3 linked regions of the Caenorhabditis elegans genome follow. The protein of the gene in region 1 purifies or fractionates together with the protein of each later gene. This does not show direct contact. Each region holds a gene or a part of one and is shown on either strand. Other genes may lie near its edges.

Region 1 (6,683 bases):
TTTTTTTTTCAGATTAAATTTAAATCTGATGAAATTATTATCAGTGTGGATTCCTATAAGTGCGCGCCGGATTCAAGGTGAAAAGTATTACTAGGTTTCAGATAAATATGGATGATGATGAGCAGAAGGGTTACACCTGGGAAGCAGGATATGCAGAAGGTTTGGAAATTTAATTTTAACAATATTTTCAGAAAATGTCTAAAAAAATCAAAAATTAAACAGCGAAAAACGAAAATTAAAGGAGAAAAAATGGTAAAAACATTATTTTTCAAAATATCGGAAAACATTTTAATACCCAAAAAACTAGAATTGAAAAATCTTGTTTTTGCTAAAGAATTTCAATCATTTTCCGTAGCTTTTCGATAAAAAACGTATATTTTATTTAAGGTTAAAATTACATTACTCTTTAAAGGTTCACACATTTTAAAATTTAACAAAAAATTGATGTGTCGAGACTTTGGACTGTATTTTTGACCCAAAAATTACAAAACTTTTGTTTCCGAGTAATATCACCACTTATTCAATAAATTTATGAAATATAAGCCATTATCAGTTAAATTTCAGGCCTGAACATCAATGATGTCCTTGTGGAAGATGAAGGTGGATCTATCGAAAAATCAATTGCCAAATACGTGGCTGATAGCAAACGAAAAGCCCGATTGACGAAGAGACCGGAACGGATTCGCCTCGGAATTGTAACACAATAAAATGAAATCAATTACAAAATTGCAATTCCAAATTAATTTCAGATGCGCCACGTCATGATTGTCATCGATTGCTCACGATTCATGACGAGCAAGGCAATGCCTCCATCGAGATTTGTAGTTGTTATGAAGGTTAGAAAAACGATTTATTTGACATGTATTTGAATGTTTCCAGGCTCTACAAACCTTCCTGGACAGATTCTTCGAGCAAAATCCAATTGCTCAGATTGGATTGATCACTTGTAAAGATCGTAAAGCAGATCGGTTGACAATGATGACAGGTTAGACTCAATATTCGAGATTTTCAATTTTTTTTTCAACGGATTTCAGGAAATATTCGTGTGCTAAAAGAATCGCTGAACACACTAACTGAAGCTTTCTGTGGTGGCGATTTTTCTCTTCAAAACGCTCTTCAATTAGCTTGTGCCAACCTGAAGTAAGTTAAAAATCGTTTTCAGAATATAAAATATTGATTTTTAGAGGAATGCCGGGTCATGTATCACGAGAAGTTGTTCTCGTTATATCAGCACTTTCAACAATTGATCCTGGAAATATTTACAGCACTATTGAGGTTATTTGACTAAAAAAGTAGATTTTTCTAATCTGTAACATTTTCAAGACAATGAAGCGAATGAATATTCGTTGTTCTGCTATTGGACTGTCTGCTGAAATGTTCGTTTGCAAGGAAATGGCTAAAGCAACGAAAGGTGATTTTTATTTTATTCTTTAAAATAAACTTTTCCAAAATAATGATTTACAGGAGAATATTCCGTAGCTCTTGACCCTGACCATCTGCAACTTTTATTCTCAAAGCATACACTCCCACCGTCCTCAGCAAAATCGAGTGAATGCAACGCAATTCATGTTGGATTTCCACACCACGAGCTGATTACAACAAGATCGTTTTGTGTTTGGTGAGGTTTTTTTAAATGAACTTCTTTTAAAGCTAATTTTTGCTAATTCAGTCATCCTGACACGAAGCCAATCTCATCTCGTGGATTCATTTGTACACAGTGCGGAGCACGTCACTGCTCGATTCCAGCTGAATGCCCGGTTTGCAAACTTACACTTGTCGCAGCTCCACAGCTTGCTCGAGCGTTTCGACATCTTCAGCCGCTGTCAGCTTTTGAGCAAATTGAAGTGACACGAGGGTACGTCAGATTTAAGAAAAAAATATATAAGACAATTAAGATATTCAGATTCTGCTACGCATGTGAAACTCGTCTATCTGGTGAAGGTTTTCGCTGTGGTAGTTGCCAGCTTGTGTTTTGTCTCGATTGTGATACTCTTCTTCACGAGTCTCTACACGTATGCCCCGGATGCAACTGATATCTCTTTTTTTAAATTACTCACGTTCTCTCACTTTTCGGACGGGTTTTATTTCATCTTTTTTATAAAAATTCTAAAATAAATCGATCGGCTCCGTAAATCTACATTTCAAGGTGCGTGCCCATCTTCCAGTCGTGGGTCTCGAAACGAAAATTGAACAAGCGGGTATTCGGGCGCCAATTACACTGTTAAAATTAATTTTTATCTTAAATACATAGCTTTCTTCGTTGTTTTTTTGCTTCATTTGGTCAATTTTTGTACAATTTAGATGAACACACCGGTAAAAGCAAAACGGCAAAGGCAGCAAATGCCAGGAACTCCGATACCCATGGGTCGGCAAACGCACAGGGCACATTCCGCCTCTGGTATGTTTTATCAATAAAAGATTTAGCGGAATCTCTAATTCTTTATATTTCAGGTTTCTACACTCCTCACGTCTCAAAATTGAAGACAAACTATGACAGAGAGTTTCAAAAGTTTCTTCGATCTGCCAAAACCGCAATCGATCACTTGGATAGTGAGTTTGAATTTTTTCTGAAATTTTCAATTTATACTTTTGTTTTTCAGAGATTGAAATGCAAATACTTTGCCCGCTGAAAAAGAAGATAAAACGTTTTCACAAGGAATCCAACACTCTCGATGTCTACTTCAGGTCACAAACATATTGGAGATCCTTCTACAAAGAGCTTATGAACCGCAGCGATGATGTCATGGATTGCTTTCGATTCGAGGATCTCCGTGACGTTGCTGCAGTTGTTGAGAGTCATCGATTGCCGGATGTGTTGGTTTCATTTGTCACGCAGCAGTTGATGGAATGGAGAGAATTGTTCAAAGACGTCGAGTGGTAAGCTGTTGTTGATAACGAATATAAATATAATTACTAAATGTTGCAGGATGCGAAAGTTTCGTGAATTGAGCCACAATATGGATTCTTTGAAAACGAAAAGAATTGAGCATGTGCTGCGACAAGACATCATCAGGGAGATTGGTGTAGCCATCGGTAATTTATTTGATTATTTCGACTCGTTATTAATAGTTTTTTTTTTCAGATGTGCACAATCTGAAAATCGATGATTTCAGAAGTCACAGCAATAACACGGAACGGGTCGCGGAAGGAATTGCTCATGCCATTGAAGAGTCCAAGAATAAACAAGATGCTGGGAATCAGTTGAAGCATGTTCCTGTGTTATCCAAGCAGATGAGTGTTCGACGATGGTATCGAGAACACTATGGTGGTTGGTATTAAATTATTCAATTCAATTGACAACAATCGAATCTTAATTTCAGACCCGCAAGCTTTGTCAGATGAATCAGATGAAGAATCCTTGTCTGATGGTGACAATTCGTCTCTTTTTGTTGGCACGGCAGATTCAAGCAGTCGTGACGCTAGTGACATATCGACGGAAGAAGTGGTCACCGAAAACGAATTCGACGAATTCTTCAATTAGTAATTCAACTGTGAATAGTATTAGAATCTCCGGCAGATCTACAATTCATTCGTATTTTAAGCTGTATTTGTTTATTCCCTTTCAAACTGCGATAACGCATGTTTTCATTTTCTATGCACATCATGTTCCATATCAAAATCTGTTTTTTAATCGATTTGATTTCAATAAACTTTTAATATTTTTTCCACTGATTATAACCATTGAGCTGTTTCATAGCTAATAAAGATTATCTATGAATTGAAAATCGGTTTATTACGGTTGGCTTTCTCGAAACTTTAATGATAAATTACTGAGAAGAAGGAAACACTTTGGGTGCTTGATATATGAGTGAGAATAGTTAGTCGTTTAGAAATCACTCCAATTTTCCTGGCATGGCGCCTTTGTGCTCGTAAGTTGCTCGTGCTTGTTTTCTGGCTCCTGGAAGTCTTTTTTCTTCTGTGCACGAATTAGAGAACGTCTGCGAGCCCGCAATATTTTAGGTGGAGTGTCCTGTAAAAAAAACATTATATGAACTTTCTCCAACTCCACCGGATGAAATTTACCTTTTTCGGATATAAAATTGGACAAACTGCCTTCACATGTGATTGTTGGCAAGTTCTACACACAATGTGATGTTTTTCGCAAAAATTGTCTCCGTTTTGGTGGCCAATTTTGAGACATTTGATGCATTTTCCTTGATTTTCCAAACTTTTCTGACGAGAAATTCCGTCTGGGTACGTTCTACACAGTGAAGGGACATGATTCTTGTTGCAAAAATAGCATAATGGGCCTCCTTTTTTCATGATATTCTGAAATTTTGAACCTATTGATTAATTAGTCAAATTTCGCGATTTTTGTGGCACAAATAGGGCAGATACTGCATGTTTGTGTTACGGTAGCTGCGAAATTTAGCTCGTGTTGAGACCGTATTTTTGTGGCAAAAATTGCATAATTTGGTATACGCATACCTTTTTTCTCTCATTTCCACGTAAAGCCTCCTTGTCATTCATTTGTGCATTGTACTTCCACAAATCTCGTTCTCTTTCAAGTTGTTCTAATTCTTCTTTCTCGGCTTGTACTCGATTGGTCAAGTCTTGAATAACCTTTTGAGCGGATGTTTGCATAATTTATGATATTTAATCTGCAACTAATTTAAGGTTGAATAAGGGGATTTAATAATTGAAGTATGAATCGAATCAACGAGGTAGAGGGAAATATTATTATGCAAGTAAAAAGTAAGATTTCATTCGGATTATAAAATTTCGAAAAATTAAGAATTATTTATTCAGTTTTGTCCTTTGAGTGAGAAGTACATCTGAAAAATTAGAATTTTATTTCAGTCAACTATATAGTTTCAAACGGTTACCAGTTAATTTGAAACTTCTTCGTATGTGGGTCACATGCAACATGATGGTGTACGAATCGCAAACATCTGCAGCACTTGACATTCATCTGTTGACGAGCACACTCGAATTTCGACGGGTGAGCCTGTTTGAAGCAAAACACGCACAGGAGAAGCTTCTGTAGACGTGCTCGACGAGATTCGCCTGTTGTGTATTCAGTACATTCATCTGTAGAATGTCTGTTCCCACAGAATTTACAAGTCTCCGACGACACTGGCTTCGATGTTGGTTCTTCGTTGTGATGGATCTCAGTGCTGATATCATCGTTGCTGAAGTTGAAATTGTATTCGCTCTCTATAGCAGTTGGCATTCGGTTTCCCGAGTCCCCAATTTGAATCTGAAATTGCAAACAGGACTACGTATACGTCTAAAGATGGGTTTTTGTCAAACATTAGGTCTCGTCACGCTGACAATGGGTTACTGTAACTCATTTTTATCGTGGCAGGACCCATGTAATGTGACGTTTATTTCAAACCTCACCATCTTTGTAAAAGCTCCCGATGATCTAGCAATTCGTTGGGCATACTTCAGAATTTCTTTTCTTCTCGCTATCTTTCTTCGCTTCAAACTGATCAGCTCTTTATAAAGTGCATCGATAATGACGTTTTCACATAGAGCCATGAGTCACACTAAAAGATTTTTAAATGAGTAATAGTTTTGCCTGAAATATCGTGAGTAAGAAATCAAGAGTTTCAAACAATTGAGGGTTTATTTCAGTAGAAAAGAAAACATTCAGAATTTGCTAGTTAGTGACAGCTCAATCATCAATGACGATAACTTCTGGAAACATCTCCGGGCACAAAATGTTCATGTGTGAGTCGGTTTTACAACGATGACAGTATCGAGGAGCCTTTTCACATTTCCCTCCATCTTGGCACTCCTCTCGGGGCTTTGCACAATCGAGACATTTCTTCTTAGAAATCAAGATGTTTCTGCGGTCGATGTGGCTTTTATAGTACGTGCAAACTATTGAAAGATGCTCATTTCCACAAAATACGCACAATTTCTGGAAAAGTGATTTTTAAAAATTAGGAATTTTTTTAATACTAACCTCGAGTGGAGTTGATGACACTGTCGAATAAGGCGCGTTTTCTTGTTCGAAAATGTAGGGTTACTGATTGGAGAGACAAGATATTTTGGTGACGGCATCGTTCCCGGGATTCCGAATGAATCGTTAGAGACCTGAAAATAGTTAGTTGAATTCTAAGTTAGCTCTGTAAATTCACACCTCCGAATCCATTGTAAACGTAGAAAGCCCGGATGAAACCAGATTTCCGGTCAAAAATGTTGGCCCTGAAATAAAAAAAACAAATTTACGTGATTTACTCATCTGAAACAAGGGTGTCAATGTCTCGTAAAAATTACAAAACCGGGACAGCGGGACGTTCCCGTGAAAACGCTCAATAAACGGGACAAACGGGACTTGACACCCTTGATCTAAAAAAAAATTTTATTCACCTCTCTCATAATCACCAAAGATGATTTGCTCTGAAAATTCGCTACGATGATTGACCTTTTGTTCAGAAATTGGCTCATCTCTAGCCACCTCTTCAATGTTTCTCTCGATAAAGTTTCGAAGAGCATCGAATTTTCGACCAACTCGTACATCTGTTTTCTTTGCTTTGCGTTGCTTCTCTGTATTATCAATTTTTCTCAAGCTGTTTGTATTCTTCTGCAACTGCTCTAATCGGCTGACTGCAAACAGTTCAAGCACCTTCCTTGCACAATAAGAATATTCGTCCGATCCGAGATTTTTCGAATATTTGGACAATTCACAATGGATCTCGTGTGGCTATCTTTGCAGAAGATGCATTCCAGGC
Region 2 (6,833 bases), on another chromosome or scaffold:
TTGTTTTCAGCGAAATGTCACTTTTCGGGTCATCTACTCCCCAAAAACAGGCATTTACGTTTCCAACGCCGAATGCTCCAACAACATCGTCTGGAACTTTGTTTGGAAGCACGTTAGTATTTTAAGAAGTATTATTTTTATACAAAAATATTATTTTCAGAACGCCATCAAAGCCTCTGTTCGGTTCAACTGCTCAGGCTTCATCAACGCCTTCGCTTTTTGGAACAACAAATACCTCTACTCCTTCTGGAGGATTGTTTGGAAGTAAGTTTGATATTTTTACTTTTACACAACTTACTTCGTAATCAAAGTTGCATTTTAAACCGAAATATATTAAATTTCAGAGACAGGCACTTCAACTACTACCACTTCAACTGCTGGAACTTTGTTTGGTGCTGCTCCAACCACTTCAACAGCTACTCCAAGTCTTTTCGGTGCTTCTACAACCGGTAAGCTACTCAAAATTATCGATATTTTCGGTCACTTCTACTTAGTTTATACTATTAGCTGTTGTGTGGTCTCGTTGAGAGAAAAGCTAGACAATGATAAGGAGGGGAAATCGATAAATCATATTGATCGAAGTAATACATTTTGGACCAAAAAATTATATTCTAAATTCCAGCAACAAATGAATGAAAAAAGAAAATAGACTCAATATATTTTTTGATCTGACAAATTATTTGACCTACCAAGGTTCTACTTCTGTGATTTGCGCTTAATTTTTATTCAAAATTGTTATTTCTCTCCTATCGCTCTACTTCTCTCGTCGTCATTGTGTTCGTTACCTTCACTTTTCTCTGTCGTGGTCGGTGTCGTGCGGATTTCTTTGCCTGTTCTTCTATCACCCGTGTTGCTCTTTGCTACTCGTTTTCTTCGTCTCGAGCGTCTGCAGAAATGTTTGCCCGACGTGGGGGCATCACCGGAATCAAAGCAGAAGACATGCCGAAGAATCTTCCAAATCTTCCCGATTTACCTACGACATCAGCATCTCAAGCTCCAGCCCCAGCAACCCAGAATGTTAGTTCACCAGCCCGTCGCAATTTGTTTGGAGCACCCAATGACGCTAACCGCACGCTTTTCACAAATTCTCCGGCATCTGGAACCACTTCTGGAACTTCAGGACTCTTCGGAACATCATCAACGACATCTGGAGGTCTCGGCGGTATTGGATCCACACAACAAACTGCCAAATCACCCGTTGCCACAAGATTGGCAGCATTCAAATCAGGAACTTTGGGGGCTGGTAGTCTTTCTGGTAATACTCCAACATCTTTTGCCACACCATCTGCGTTACCAGGAACTAATGCCCCACAGTCATCTTTTCTATCACCGGCAAACAACTTGAATGTGGCTCCAGCAGCTTATCGTCCTCCCTACTCAACATTTGGAGGTTGGTATTCATCAACTTTGTATTAGCTTTTCATATTTCTAGAATTGAGTAGACTTGGTGGGTCAGATCAAAAACCGAATAAAAAAAAAAAAAACTAAACCTAATATTAAATCTTAAAAATAATTAATTTAGATATGTCTAATTAGCTTTAAAACATTGCTTCAAGTATTTTATCGTGAATCTGGAATATAATTGTCTAATTAACGAACTTTGATAATTTTGATGGCTCAATTTTCAGGATCGACCCCATTCGGAGCAGCGTCGACTGGAACAGCCGCGGGATCAACGCTTTTTGGATCGAGTACTGCAAAGCCAGCTACAGGCGGATTTTTTGGTTCCAGCTCAGGGTCTACTCTTGGTGGTCTTGGAGCAACTCAACAACAACAACAGCCTGTTGTTCAGCAGCAACAAGTTATTCAGGTAATTAAATGAATCTTAAGAATATCTGAGCGCTTTTCCAAATAAAATTTTTTCAGCAGTATCACCCATTTGTGAAAGCTGTCGGAGATCCAAAGCTCTTTGGAAATGATAATGATGGAGTTGTTGCTAAGTTGAATCAAGTTGCTGCCGGTTTGGGTGTCGGAAAAGCTCCATACAAAGATGGAAATCAGCTTCTATCGTTTTCAATGGAAGGAAACTTGTTTGAACGATTTGTTGTAAGTTTATTTTATAAATCACTGAAAACTTGCACAGTGTCACGTTTCAGGGAATCGGATACAATCGTATTTCGGAGCGAACCGACGATGAGGGATTTGTAACTTTGGTGCTGCGTCATCCTATTACAAACTTGAACACAGAAGAACGCCGTGACAAAATTCTTGAAATTATCAAAGCTATTCTTGGTGGCGGACCAAATGTAGAAGTTCGATATGCTCCTGGTACTTCGATGAGAACACTTTCTGATGGATGCACAGAAATCTGTATTATCGCCAAAGAAGGCGGATTTGTTGCAGGAGCTATTAAACTTGCTCAAATCCTCAATGATGCTCCAAAAATGACCCAATTAGAATCGCAGTTGCAAGTGGATAAAACAAGGGTTCTTCCTAAAGTTGGAATGTCGAAAGCACAAAGAGATAGATATTTGGAGACAGTTCCTGATGGTTAGTTTACTCGTTATTTTTACTATGTTTATCATTTATTAACAAAGATTTTCGTTTTCCTCCCTCGCATTGTATCAAATTTCATTCATTTCAGGAATCGATGAGCGTATTTGGAGACAAGCAATCAAAGAAAACCCAGCTCCAAACAAACTTCTTCCTGTTCCAGTACGTGGATGGGAAGCATTAAGAGACAGACAGAAGGCTCAAGTTGGCGAGTCGAAACTATTCCACGAGGCAATTAATGCATTGGGAAATCGTGTTGAAGAAGCTAATGTAAGTTGTTATAACTTGATGAAAGTTTACAAATGTCATACATATTTCAGCATGAACATGCAGATGCAGTTGTTAAGATGGAGATTATTCGTAATCGCCATAAAACTCTCTCGTACAGAATTGTTCGTGTTATGCTTGCACAATGGATTGTATCAAGATATTCACGTCAAATTGACACTGATGAGGATGTAATTGAAGCTAAAGCTGATACACTTCTTGCCCAAATGAATCGTCATAATCAAGTGAAGGTGAGAAAAAATTATGATTTAATTTTGTATAAAACAATTAATTTCAGTTTTATGTCGACAAATTCTACGAGATTTTGGAATCAAAACCGGATAAACTTCAAGAATCAATGTGGAAAATGTTTGATATGACAATTGAAGATGAACACTATGCTCGTAGAGTGCTTACCAAATTTGTTAATATTTGCTCTGGCCTTTACGAGTCAACACATCAACAAATCGAAAGTCTTGAAGCTTGTAGAAGGGCTCTAGAAGGATAATTTATTTTTTAGAAAAGATTTTCTGAAAATCTTTTTTTCAGATTTTCTCGTATTAATTTAAAAATTCGCTCATTTCTTTTGTATCATCATTATTTTCTTTCAAACTCTGACAGGTTTCTGGTTATTTCTGTTTCGACCTAAGATGTGTGGCAGAAAATTGTTTTTAAAACTTATACATATTGAGCAAAAAAGCTCGCTTTTTTCTATGTTCGCCTGTCATCACGAGTACATTTTTTCATAAAATATGCCTCATTCTTGGTTGTAACTGTTGATCTGACCTCCTCAAATTGTTAATTGTCTTATTTCACACACTGTTTAATAGATTGAATTAATTCATCTCAAACTTCTATCTAGAATAAATTTGATCTCCATTTTTCTGTTTGAGTTTTGTCAAATAACGGTTGTCTCCCGTTCGAATTTCTGCGATTTTCAAATAATTAGAATCACATAAAAACTATTGCAAAATGTATCTCAGAAAATGGACGATGAAGACAATGATGAAAAGAGACGTCAACGTTCAGATGAAGCTCGTCGAGCCGCGATGAGGCAAAAAATTCAAGATCAGAGAGAAAGAGATCGTCAAATTGCTGCTGACATTGCTAATGTTGACAAAAAAACGACAAAACGCATTGTATTTGAAGATTCGGATGATGGGGATGATCAGGATGAAGAAACAGAAAAAACAGCCGCGAATGGTGAAAAGGTTGGAAGTTTTTCAATTTTTTGAGATAAAAATCTCTTATAACAGCAATTGCCCGATTTCATAAAGTTGTTTGCTGTAAAGACAATACTCGTAAACTAAGTTGGAATAATTCAGAAAACCTCGCGCAGTTCAAAACGTCCAAAACTCTTCGATTCTGAAGATGAAAACGATAAAGATGAGGAGGAAGATTTTGAAATCAAAAATAGACACTCTGGTCCTAAAGGTATTGTCTAAAATTAAAATAAATTAAACCAAAACTATTTTTCAATTTTTAGGCGAAAAGCTGATGCACCTAGAATCACGTTTCAATAGTGATCCCCGATTCAAATTGGACGACAAGTTTGCAGAAAGTGATTCTGATGAAGATGGAAATATGGAGCAGAGCTCGGAAAAGCAAGAAATGAAATTAGAAAAAGATAAAAATCGAGAACTTTTGTCTAAAATTCTAGGAAAAAGTGTCGAAGAGAAAAAACCAAATACTATAGAGTCTTCAACACTTAAAGCTCGACCATTCACTCGTTTCGATCCTGAAAATCCTGAGCATTTGGAATGGATGAAAGCTTTTGAAGCTTCGAAAAATCCACAAAAAGTCAAGAAAACTGAAGAAAGTACAAATTCGGACGAAGATGGGAATGGAAGTGACGAAGGAGACGAAGATTCAACTGAAAAGAAAAAGGAAGAAGTCGTTGAAAAAGACGAGGAAAGCGGTGATGAGAGCTTTGAGAAAGCTGAAATCTTTTTCAAAATGGATGACGCGTTTTCAGCTGAAGTGAGTTTTCAACAAAAAAAAACATTTTTCACACAAAAATTATTTTCAGATGAAAGAACGAAAAGATGGTGATGATCCGTCAACTGGAGGTTTCTCTTTTTTATCAATGATTGGAAGAAAATATGATGACGAAGCAGTTGAAGATGATGGAGAAAATTTAAAGAAAATAGAACCAACACAAAGTAAAGCCGAACCGTCTGGAAATGTTGACAAAATCGAAAAATCTCTACTCAAAGTGAAAGTTAGCACAAAGTTTTTCGTCGATCCTCTGTCGGATGAAAAAATCAAAAGTTTAGCGGCTAATTTCAGAAGAACTCAAACAGTGGAGAAAGTTATTGATAAATGGGCACCTCATCGAGATGCTATTTTCAAGGTGAGTAGTTTTTTTTTTGAGCCTGACCGACTATTGAGCTCTGTTTTATTATTTCAAGCGAGTCTTAATACAAAAAAGATTTCAAATTGTTTTGATTCAGAAAGTTATACCAATTTCCAGTATGATCAAATAAGTCCACCATCTTAATAAATAACAAAATTTTCCCTAACTGTCTGATTCTCGTTACGCATACACAATCTCATTCTCAATCTTTTTGCGGAAAAGTGTCATTATTAATCGATTTTTCTTTCTTCTTCCAATATAAATTATTCATACATTTTTTAGCTCTGGAAGAAACAACGTCGTGATGCAGTAAAAAAGCAGAAAGATTCATTTTTCACAAATGGAAAACGAAAACGGAAAGCTGATACAGGAAACGAAGATGCTCCTGAGACTGCGTGAAATGTTCAAGATCTAATAGTTATTCAATTGTTCGTTGTTGTTTTTGTTGATTTTCAAATGTTTGTTATAGTAAATACATATTTTCAAATGTTTTGATTTTTTTGAAAACTTACTCTGGTTTAATTTCCGATGAGAATACCTTTTACATTTTTTATGATAATTTTTGTTAAACTATCATAATATTTCAGAATTCTTCAGCGTAATGTCATTTTCGGATGTTTTGGATGCAAAACCAAAAGAGCCAAAGCTCTATCGATTGCTTGGGTGTGATGAAAGCTCTTCGGTAGGTTAAACTTTAAAATAATATTTTCATAATTTAAGTTATATTCAGATAGATCAAATAACTGCCGAATATCGGGCACGGGTTCGCGACTGCCATCCGGATAAAGTGAAGGAGCACAACACGAATTCGACTGAAAAATTCATGGAGCTACAGGGAAGTTTAATAAAATAAATTAATATCAATAAAACGCACAATAATTGTTGTTACCTCTTCAGAATGCATATTCTATTTTAACGAGTGATTCTCGTCGAAAAACTTACGATTCGTGGCTTCATTCCCCGTTTCCAGTTTCTTTTGAAGACTTCACAAAGTCTCAGGACACTTTTCAGATGGTAATTTTGGCTCCGATATGTGTTTTTGAGTTTTTTTGGTTCGGTCCTTGTGCTTTTTTGTTGAAACTTTTAATTCTATTTAAAAGAAAATAAAAAATTTCAGTCAACTCACTGGGCAGTTCCAAAATCTCAACCATCTATTGCAGCCAATCAACCAGAAAAGTTGTCTCAAAATTTTAAATCTGAAAAATCTGAAAAATCACGCTGGTCCGACGGTGATCGATATCAATCATCGATTGCCTCGGCTTTTAGAAATTATAAAGTTTAAACCTGAAATTTTTTGCCAAATTTAACACTCCAAAATAATATGAATATTTTCAAAACAATATTTGTATTTTATTCATTTATATCAATTCTTAATAAATGTTTATTGAATACTTCACCTCTACGTCTTTGTTCATATTTGTACCGTATAACTCGGTTTGATATTGTTTTTACGCTCATAATGAGTTTTCAAATTTGAATTTTAGACCTTTTTACTTGCCAGACGATTCTACAAGTTTTGTATGAACGGTGAGTTTCAGATTTCGATGGCTGACACAGCTCAATACGGTATAATTTTCAGTCTACTCGTTTGACGGTCTTGTCGTTGCTGCTCTATTATTCATCTGCACCTGTGCTTATTTGAAACGAGTTCCACGTGTTAGTAGCTGGCTGTTGTCTGAGAAGAAGGGATTCTTCGGAGTTTTTTATAAGGTAAAGA
Region 3 (8,496 bases), 4.6 Mb from region 1:
TTGAAACTCTAAAAATGTGAAATTCATAAAAAAAAGTTAACTATCAAAAATAGGAAGTGAAAATGTTTTAAAGAGAATTTTTAATTACAATTGTTTTTGTGTTGATCGTTTTGGTTTTTGCTCTTTTTTAAAAAAAATCCATAAAGCATTTTGACTGAGAAGCAAAGAAAAACTATTACAAGCTCTAAAAATTTATAATCGAAAAAAGCATATGACGACACGAGATCAATAAAACAATATACTATTCTTCCCAACAACTAATCAAAAACAATATTTTCAGATGACGGGGGTGGTGGAAGAAGGCCAATGAGCAAAAGTGACCAATCAATGCGTAGAGATGTCCTCCACAACTTGATGTAGAGTAAGATGTCAGCTGACGGATAAGAAGAGGCCGTTCCCGTCTGGAGAAGCCTACCTGCCTTCTTGCTCATCACTCATGTGAAGAGGAAGAAGGGATAAGGTCAACTTTGTGAACAATTGGTTTTTATTTAGTGGATAAGGGTGAGAGGGAAAACAATTATGATTGGTTATGACAATGATCTGGTAAAATTAATGACTCTCAAATTTGTATCCAACTTTTTTTAGAAACATTCAAAATTGAATTTTCTTTCAAATTTTCCTGAAAAAATTATTATAGGTAGGCAGAAAAATTCATTTTTCAAGTCAACGTGAAAACGCGCTCCATTGTCAATTGAAAAAGCCCCGCCTCAGAACGATGGGTCTCGTAAGGTATTTGGCGCCAAAACTGCAAATTCATGTTTTCAATTAGTTTCATCCGTTTCGCATCAATTAATTTTGAACTACAGCCAACATTTCTTGAAAAATTGAAACTTGAACGGCCCGATACCTTTTTTCAATTTTGAATCAACTCAGAAAAATTCCCTTGGTATGTTTTTTTTTTAATTTTTGTGGACATTTCGTATGAAAACAGCAAAGATTTATTTTTGTATAAAATTCACAATTTAAAAAATATTTTCAAGACAAAATTTAAAATGCAATATATTTTTCAGCAAAGGGTTAGTATATACAGCTATAATCAGATTATTGGCATTGCTCTAGAAGTGAAGAATCCACGCATTTGGCAGCACTTGCAGAGAAAACAGCATTCGAATCAGCACATTCGTGTGGGATGAGCTGGCCGTTGGAGCATTTGTGGTAGTTACGGGAGCATAAAGTACTTGAGAAGAGCCCGTCGATGGAGCAGTCGTATGTTCCAATGGAGGCATCACGAATGAGCAATGCGTCTGAAAAATCGTTTTATTCAATTGTAATTTGGAATCACTATTACCTTCCATGCAGCATTTCAGAGAAGTCTCCGGGTAGTCACATATCAAAGAATTCTCATTGAAAACCAGACTCGGTGGGCACTCAAAAATATTCTCTCGTCCATTTTGACACGATAGAACTCGCGGGGTACAATCGAGAGCATAGAGACCATTGTCCATATTTGTGCAGGGCGTTAAGGCTTCACTGGCTTTGTAGTTTTCCATAAATCCAGATGATTCCAAGTCACACTCGTCAACGTTCCATTCATAGTCACACATTTGATTTTTCTCGGAAAACATTAGCCCATCTGGACAAAACATGACAATTGGAATGCCATTTGTACAGGCTGAAAATGATGAAGAGCATCTGCCAAATGAGAAATATCCGTCGACTTCGCCGCAGTTTTGTGGCTTTTCAGATTTTTCAGAACAATCCATCACATTTTTTGGCCAATCACAAGAGGAAATCGCTGGATTGAAGACAAGATTCGCCGGGCAATTTCTACGGTGAGCGATGCCTTCAGAACACGAGAAGAAAACATTGGAGCACTCGGACTTTGAGATATTTCCATCGGATTCACAATATTCTCCTGATACTTGAGAACATTCATCAATCATTCCTTTCCATGAACACTTTTTATTGGTTGGATCGTAGATAAGAGGTGTTGAGCAGCTGAGGAATCGAGGTGAGCCGGAGTTGCAAATAATATAGGAGCTACTGCAAGTGCCGGAGGAGTAGACGCCATCTTTGAGACTCTCGCACACTGAAAAATATTAGTGGAGAGGATTTGTCAGAAAATGCAATTTTTGGGCATAATTATTTTCACTTTTTCATACAATATTCTGAAACTTACAACACAATCTTTAAATATTTCTCTAGAGCAACATTTGGACTTTTTGTATAATAATTATTTTGAAAGTTTTCTGCATACTGAAGTAGTTTTCTAAGTCTATTTTATGAAAAATGTACCATTTTCTAGCAGCTCGTCGCCAGAAGATTCTCCCGACGAATCGCCAAATGTGATTTCTTCGTCTCCTGAGCTTTCACCGGAACCATCACCAGAAAACTCGTTTTCTTCTCCTTCCTCTCCACATTCAAACACATTGTGCCTCCAATCACAAAACTCCAGATTTTTGTGATAAACCAGATCCTCCGGGCAGTCCATATATCGAGCCTCGCCGCTGACGCAAGCTAGGAATCTCGGTTCACAGGCACCCAGAGGGTACATTCCGTCTCCAACATTCGTGCAATCTGAAATAAAATTTGATGTATATCGTTTTCAAAGCCCGACGACAACTACCTGTGACAAATTTCGAGTTTACAGTTGATATCGTGAGAAGTAGAGTCGTTAGACAAGGCAATAATCTCATTTTGCTGAAAACACGATATTTAATTAGAGAAAACAAATGATTTCAAAGAAAATTGTTAATTGATAAAAGAAAAACTGAAAACCTTGAAGAACATATTTCAAAATTGAAGAAAAAAACCAATTTCGCAAACTATAGTCAAAGCAGCAGCTCAAAGTTTTTGTCCACGGTCTCGAAGCGATTGGCTACTGTAATTTTTCAAATGATTTTTTTTTTCGCTGTTTGTGTCGAAACTTCTTATATTCTCTAAGAAACTGAAATAATTTTTGTTCATTGACTTTTATATTATACATTTTACATATGATTTTGTCATAAATCTTTCTGCCGTCTATACTCCTAATATTGTTTTCTAAAAAACTCATTTAAACCTCCGCCAAAAAAAAGTGCGACAGAGCACCTTTGCAATTTTCACTTTTTAGCCAATTTTTTCCGTGATTTTCTTCAAATAAAACCAAATTTTTGAATTTTATTCTGTTTTCCTATGATCAAATACAAACGTAAGTATTAAAATATTCTTTTTAGATGGCTGATGGACCAGATAAAAAACGCAGAAAGCTGACAAGTGCTCTCAAAGACGCAATCGGAGCGCACTCGCAAAAACCTGAGGAAAACATAGAAAAACCAATTGCTCTCGCACTTATTAGTAATTTTTTAACGCTTTGAAACATATAAAGTATTAATCTTCAGGCGACAACAAGGCCGCGCAAGACCTTCTCAACAAAATTCAAGCCAGTCGGCGCCCGCAAGCGATTTTGGAGGCAACTTTGAAGATCTGTAAGGAGAAGGTACTGAAAATAGTGATAGAGATGAAATAATAAATTAGTTTAATTCAGAAATCCGAAGCGCACGTTGATGAAGCGTTTCTTTCAATTTTCCGCAAACATTTCTCGATTCTCGGTGTGGATTCTGCCTTGGCATGCTGGAAATTGATCGAAGAACATCTCAATTCTTCAGAATCAATGTAATTTAAAAATTTCTGAATTTGAAATTGCAAAATGTAATTTTTAGAAACGAAATCAGAATTGCTAACGAGTTCATCAGTACCTCTAATCTTCTTGGCCATGGTTTCGGAAAACTTCTGCAAAACATGAAGCAAGGAATTCCTGTGGTAATTCAGAATACGTGGAGACAAGAACGTAAAGGTAACTATATAAATATTAAGAACTTAAATTCAATTTAAAAATTTCAGCGGACGCCTTAGCTCTTGCCTATCCCTTCCTAAGCCTCCTCCTAGCTGATCAGGTATATGGAGACCATCAAAATCTTGAATCTTTGGCAGAATTCTGGAAAAATCAAGTTTTACCGGAGAAATCCATGAAAAAAGATTTTGGAATGAGAATGGTCAGTGCTTTAGCCGGCGGTGAGCCTGGACAGTTGCCAGAAACGAAAATCGACGAGAATCAACTTGAAATGGTGAGAAATATCTTGTTTTATTTAAAAGTTTTATTTTAATTTTCAGCTCTCAAAGATCTACGAAAATCATCTGGAATTCTACACTGGAATTCTCTCAGAATCCACGTGCTCTCAGCTTCTTGCCAAAGTAATTGAGGATAATTTAGCCAAAAATGAGGTAAAAATTTGAAATTTTCAGACGATTTTATTTTTTAAAATTTCAGCTAAAGCAACTTGCCCGTCGATGCCAAACTGCTGAAGTATGCATGTCCCCGTGCATTTACTACGCGATGATTTCAGTTTTACGGAGCACTTTTGACCTCAACGATTCGGAGCTCATTTTCATCGAAAACTTGAAAACGTTGAAGTATGGTGAAAGTTTGATAGAAAATTATATAATTTTCATTGAAAAATAGCGAAAAATCAGTTGAAACCAATCAATTAATCTCGATTTTAAATTAAAAATCAGTCTGGATTTTTTTAAATTAACCTTTATTTTTTTTTTCAGACTAAAAGAAATCACAAAGCATCTCCCTTCAATCATCAATTCCTGCTCCAACACTCGCCAAATTACCGCTAGCAAGAAGCTTAAAAATCTCGAAAATCTTCAGGATTTCCTTCACAATGTCACAGAAAAACCGGAAAACGACAATTTCTCGGCTGCTTTTGCCCTTCTTTCAATCAATATTTCACTAATCTTCGATAACTGGAACTTTTGCGAGAAAATCCTGAAAACTCTACCGAAGGACGTTCTGGAAAAGCTGATAAAAGCAGGAAAGGGATCTGAAAATGAGAATATTTTGAAGGTTTTCAAGAAAGTGGCTCAGGAAGCTGCTCCAGTCAAATTTGTGAATAGAACCGCCGCGGATGTCGCTGAGAAGCTCCGAGAGCCGGAATTTGCAGTGGCAGAAGCCTTAAGCTTGCTCCAAGGAGTTCATACAGCGGAGACGAAAAAGGAAGTCTTTGGTAATCATTTTTAATTACAACTATTAAAAAAAATAATTTCTTTTACCCAAGTTTTTTGCAGATTCTGTTGTAAAATTCGTCGAAGAGATTCCTGGAGCCGAGAGCATTGACGAGATGAAGCTTTTCAAGTTGATAATTGAAATGTATGGTGGAAGTCAACTGGAATCATTAGCTGTTCAAGTAGTGTTTTCACGAATTGCTGCCGACGGTTGGACTGAAATGGATCGGGCTCCGGGAACCGAGAAATCTGATGAATCATGGTTTACAGTACTTGTGGAGACGATTGATCTGCTTGATATAGCAATGAAATCGGCGAAGAATTCAGTGCTAAAATCATTCACTGCACTTTTCTGTCAACTTTTTAGCCAAGTTTTGAAGAATTCTCAAAAATTCGTGAGGAATAGTCTGAACGCGGTCGCGTCGCGTACACTTTCGCCTGAAATGGAAACTGAATTTGTGCTCCGCCGTCATAAATTGAGTCAGGATTTGGCAAGATTAGTAGATGCAATGAAGAGGAATGAATCGTATTTTGCAATGGTAAGATTTTGAACATTTTAGAAAAAATTTAATATTCTTGAAAACTCGAAATAAATAAAAAATCAAAAACTGGGAGTTTTTCGATGGTTAAACTATTTTTGAAAAAAATTTTTAAAAAAGTATTTTAATTTGAAAAATTGTTTTTTGAACATCGTCCATTTGTCGATAATTAAAAAAATTTATACGAATTTTAATATTAAAAAAATCGTGAACACTATTTTTTGAGTCGTTTGTCTAATGGGGTTATTCAAGTAATGTAGCAAAATGCATTTAAATACATTTGTGACGTCACAAATGTATTTAAATACATGTTTTTATCTACTTGAATAAGGTTGTGACGTAATTTTTCTACACTTTTTAATTTTCCGACACTACTTGAATAACCCCATAACAAATTACATAAATTTTTTTCTAGTTTTTAAATATTGAAAAAAAAGAAGAAAAATTGTAGAAGTTGGAGAAGAGTTTTAAAAAACATTTAAAATTAAAGTTCTTTTTTGAAAACCCATTTTAAAACGTTTTATCTTTTTTTTCAGGATTGTCAAATTGATAAAAATGAGAACTAGTATTTCTTGAGAAATTTCCCTTTTTTTTAAAGAAGAAAATAGACATTTTAATTTTAAATAATCTGTAATAATCACTATTTCTTCTCGAACTCGATTTTTTTTAAAAATTCTGTCAACTTATTAATTTTCGAAATTAGGGGGAGCTTGTTGAGTATGTTTTGGTAAAAGTTACCAAGAAAAACGACTAAATTGAAATTTTAAAAAAACCTTCAATTATTCTCAAAAACGGTCTAAATTTTTATTCTTCAGCTGACTGCATCAATCATTGGAGACGCAGTATTCTATGGATCAGACAGTCTACTTGCCATGTCAAAACTACATTCACTGGCCGATAAAAATGCATCCGCGTTGCTCGCCACGAATCTTCCAGTTGTTGAGAGAACCCGATACAAGAAGTTCCTTTCTACGATCACGAGGGCTTCGAAGCGAATTTATTAATTGTTTTTTTTGTTATAATATCCATTTTTATGTTGTTGATTGTTCATCTTGTTCTGTTGATTTTTAAGTGTTCAATTAAAAAATTTATTCCAAAAAAACACAAAAGAGTTCAAAAAAGTCAATAGAATCCGCATCCATAACCACCATATCCTCCATACCCGAAATCAAAACCTCCGTATCCATATCCTCCATAAAATCCATTATAATATGGGTCGAACATAACACCACCTCCATAATATGGATAAGGGCTCATGATCACTGGCGGCGGAGCCATGACAACTGGAGCCACCGGAGCAGCACCCATGACCATTGGTTGGGATCCATAGACCACGGGAGCAGCTTGTTGTTGTTGAGGGTAAGCTTGAGCAGGTGCAGCCGGAGTTGCCTGGGGAGCTGCCTGAGGAGCTGGTGTAGGTGCCGGGACTGGGGCTCGCGGAGCAGACTTTCTCTTCTCCACTTCCTTTTCAACCTCTTTCTCCGTTTGGTCGATGCAAGTAAAAAGCTCTGGATCTTCAGGCGTTGGTGATGGCTCCGCAACTCTCTCCGGTGGTTCTGCAATCGTTACTCTCCTATTTTTGGGCTCCACGACTTTCTCAGGAGCTTTCGGTGCTGCTGGAGGTGCGTAGGCCGGTGGAGGTCCCTGTGGGATCCCTTGAGGCTGCTGTCGAGGGTATGCCTGAAAAATCGATATTTTCTTTTATTGATTTTCGGAAAATTATCGATTTTCCCTACCATTTGCTCTGTCGAGGCGTTTGGAGATGGTTGAGTGTGCTGACGATTCTGAAAAGTTGAGGTACAAGGAGGAGTTCTTGAGCTTGACTTCAAGGCGACCTTCGTCTGCCTTGTGTCTATTCAGTTTTTTTTATGGAACCCGGAACAGGGATTATAGGCAGGCACGGTCACCTCATATGAAACTTGGAGACTTACCATTTGGTCCGAGCGTTGGTTGTTCCGTTGATTATTTCTAGCTTTCTTCGATTGACAGCATCCCATTTTTCATCGATATATTTGAGTTCTTTTGATTATAAAGTAAGTTGGGAATAAAATTTTTTAGCGGCAAGTTTGAACATTTGAAAAATAAATCATTTCCAAAAAAATAACTGCAAGGCGTTCACGCAGAAATGGAAGCGGCCGACACTTTCCTTTTTCTAATGCCAGCAGTCGACACTTCCCGTGGATAAATTTTGGTGGATCAATTTGCCAGTTTCGGACCGATTAACTAATTTTTAGAAAACAATCTCAGACTATTTTTATTGCAAAAAAAGGATCAATTATCAATTATTTCTTATCGGAAATATTTTCAAGTCACTTCATCTTCTTCTTACTTTTCATTTGACATCTCGATTAAAACATAAACGGATCACAATAGAATGGATCACCGTAGTACATTCCACCTCCATAACATGGATAAGGATCCACAATGACCACTGGCGGAGGAGCAGCCACTACGACTTGCTGTTGCGGTGGATAGTATGGCTGTTGAGCCCCATACGCAGGAGGCGGTTGTGGCTGGTACGGGAGACCTGGAGACGGTTGTTGACGTTGAGGTTGTGGAGGCTTCTGTCCATTGGGAGGTGGAGCTTGTTGCTGCTGCTGCTGTCGAGGTGGAGGTGGAGGTTGATTCCTATTCTGAGGTTGATTCTGGGCAGGATAGGGGCCTGATTGGGTTCCGGTTTGATTCTGAAAATATAGTTTTTGAGACGAGGAATCTCTAAAAATGAATGCTGTCGAGATTGTAAAAGGTGTGCAAAACTATAGTGACTCTACAGTAACCAGGTAATAAACCTGCGCCAACCGTACCCCTAACAACACGTAGTACTTTGGTTTCAAAAGAGTTCGCAGCGAAAGCTGATGCAAGCTTAAGCGTACAAGTACAGTATTACTACAGTAACACTGTAATTACAACGATGAGCTACCGTAATCTTGCAATAAACCTATGAAACCCGCTACCGTACCACTACAGT

The links.
Region 2: the proteins of hal-2 (region 1) and K07F5.14 purify together in Caenorhabditis elegans (affinity purification with mass spectrometry, with the first as the bait; one study listed by BioGRID). This does not show direct contact.
Region 3: the proteins of hal-2 (region 1) and R02F2.7 purify together in Caenorhabditis elegans (affinity purification with mass spectrometry, with the first as the bait; one study listed by BioGRID). This does not show direct contact.

Annotation. Positions count from the first base shown.
Region 1 is NC_003281.10:10,084,204-10,090,886, reverse strand, and holds hal-2 (Coiled-coil domain-containing protein), read left to right. Parts: upstream 1-2,033; 5' UTR 2,034-2,146; intron 2,147-2,301; coding exon 2,302-2,398; intron 2,399-2,451; coding exon 2,452-2,550; intron 2,551-2,600; coding exon 2,601-2,877; intron 2,878-2,926; coding exon 2,927-3,033; intron 3,034-3,082; coding exon 3,083-3,268; intron 3,269-3,320; coding exon 3,321-3,481; 3' UTR 3,482-3,699; downstream 3,700-6,683. Other genes in the region: gtf-2H2C (General transcription factor IIH subunit 2), read left to right, coding at 108-159, 565-695, 750-836, 880-985, 1,035-1,140, 1,185-1,275, 1,324-1,411, 1,465-1,618 and 2 more; T16H12.2 (uncharacterized protein), read right to left, coding at 3,827-3,970, 4,024-4,269, 4,429-4,584; T16H12.13 (uncharacterized protein), read right to left, coding at 4,823-5,200, 5,344-5,484.
Region 2 is NC_003282.8:9,858,478-9,865,310, forward strand, and holds K07F5.14 (NUC153 domain-containing protein), read left to right. Parts: upstream 1-3,743; 5' UTR 3,744-3,746; coding exon 3,747-3,971; intron 3,972-4,085; coding exon 4,086-4,194; intron 4,195-4,246; coding exon 4,247-4,740; intron 4,741-4,789; coding exon 4,790-5,113; intron 5,114-5,398; coding exon 5,399-5,515; 3' UTR 5,516-5,590; downstream 5,591-6,833. Other genes in the region: npp-1 (Nucleoporin Nup54 alpha-helical domain-containing protein), read left to right, coding at 15-112, 161-264, 345-449, 1,121-1,390, 1,629-1,810, 1,867-2,046, 2,097-2,490, 2,585-2,763 and 2 more; K07F5.16 (J domain-containing protein), read left to right, coding at 5,718-5,798, 5,847-5,948, 6,011-6,130, 6,234-6,398; K07F5.22 (Protein kish), read left to right, coding at 6,637-6,643, 6,696-6,826.
Region 3 is NC_003281.10:5,478,433-5,486,928, reverse strand, and holds R02F2.7 (Myb-binding protein 1A-like protein), read left to right. Parts: upstream 1-3,155; coding exon 3,156-3,276; intron 3,277-3,320; coding exon 3,321-3,418; intron 3,419-3,466; coding exon 3,467-3,594; intron 3,595-3,641; coding exon 3,642-3,775; intron 3,776-3,822; coding exon 3,823-4,046; intron 4,047-4,092; coding exon 4,093-4,203; intron 4,204-4,249; coding exon 4,250-4,392; intron 4,393-4,533; coding exon 4,534-4,991; intron 4,992-5,052; coding exon 5,053-5,528; intron 5,529-6,343; coding exon 6,344-6,532; 3' UTR 6,533-6,626; downstream 6,627-8,496. Other genes in the region: R02F2.4 (Chitin-binding type-2 domain-containing protein), read right to left, coding at 1,042-1,244, 1,289-2,029, 2,236-2,517, 2,567-2,636; R02F2.5 (Prion-like-(Q/N-rich)-domain-bearing protein), read right to left, coding at 6,651-7,208, 7,265-7,312, 7,460-7,525; R02F2.6 (uncharacterized protein), read left to right, coding at 8,005-8,247; R02F2.10 (Prion-like-(Q/N-rich)-domain-bearing protein), read right to left, coding at 7,877-8,212.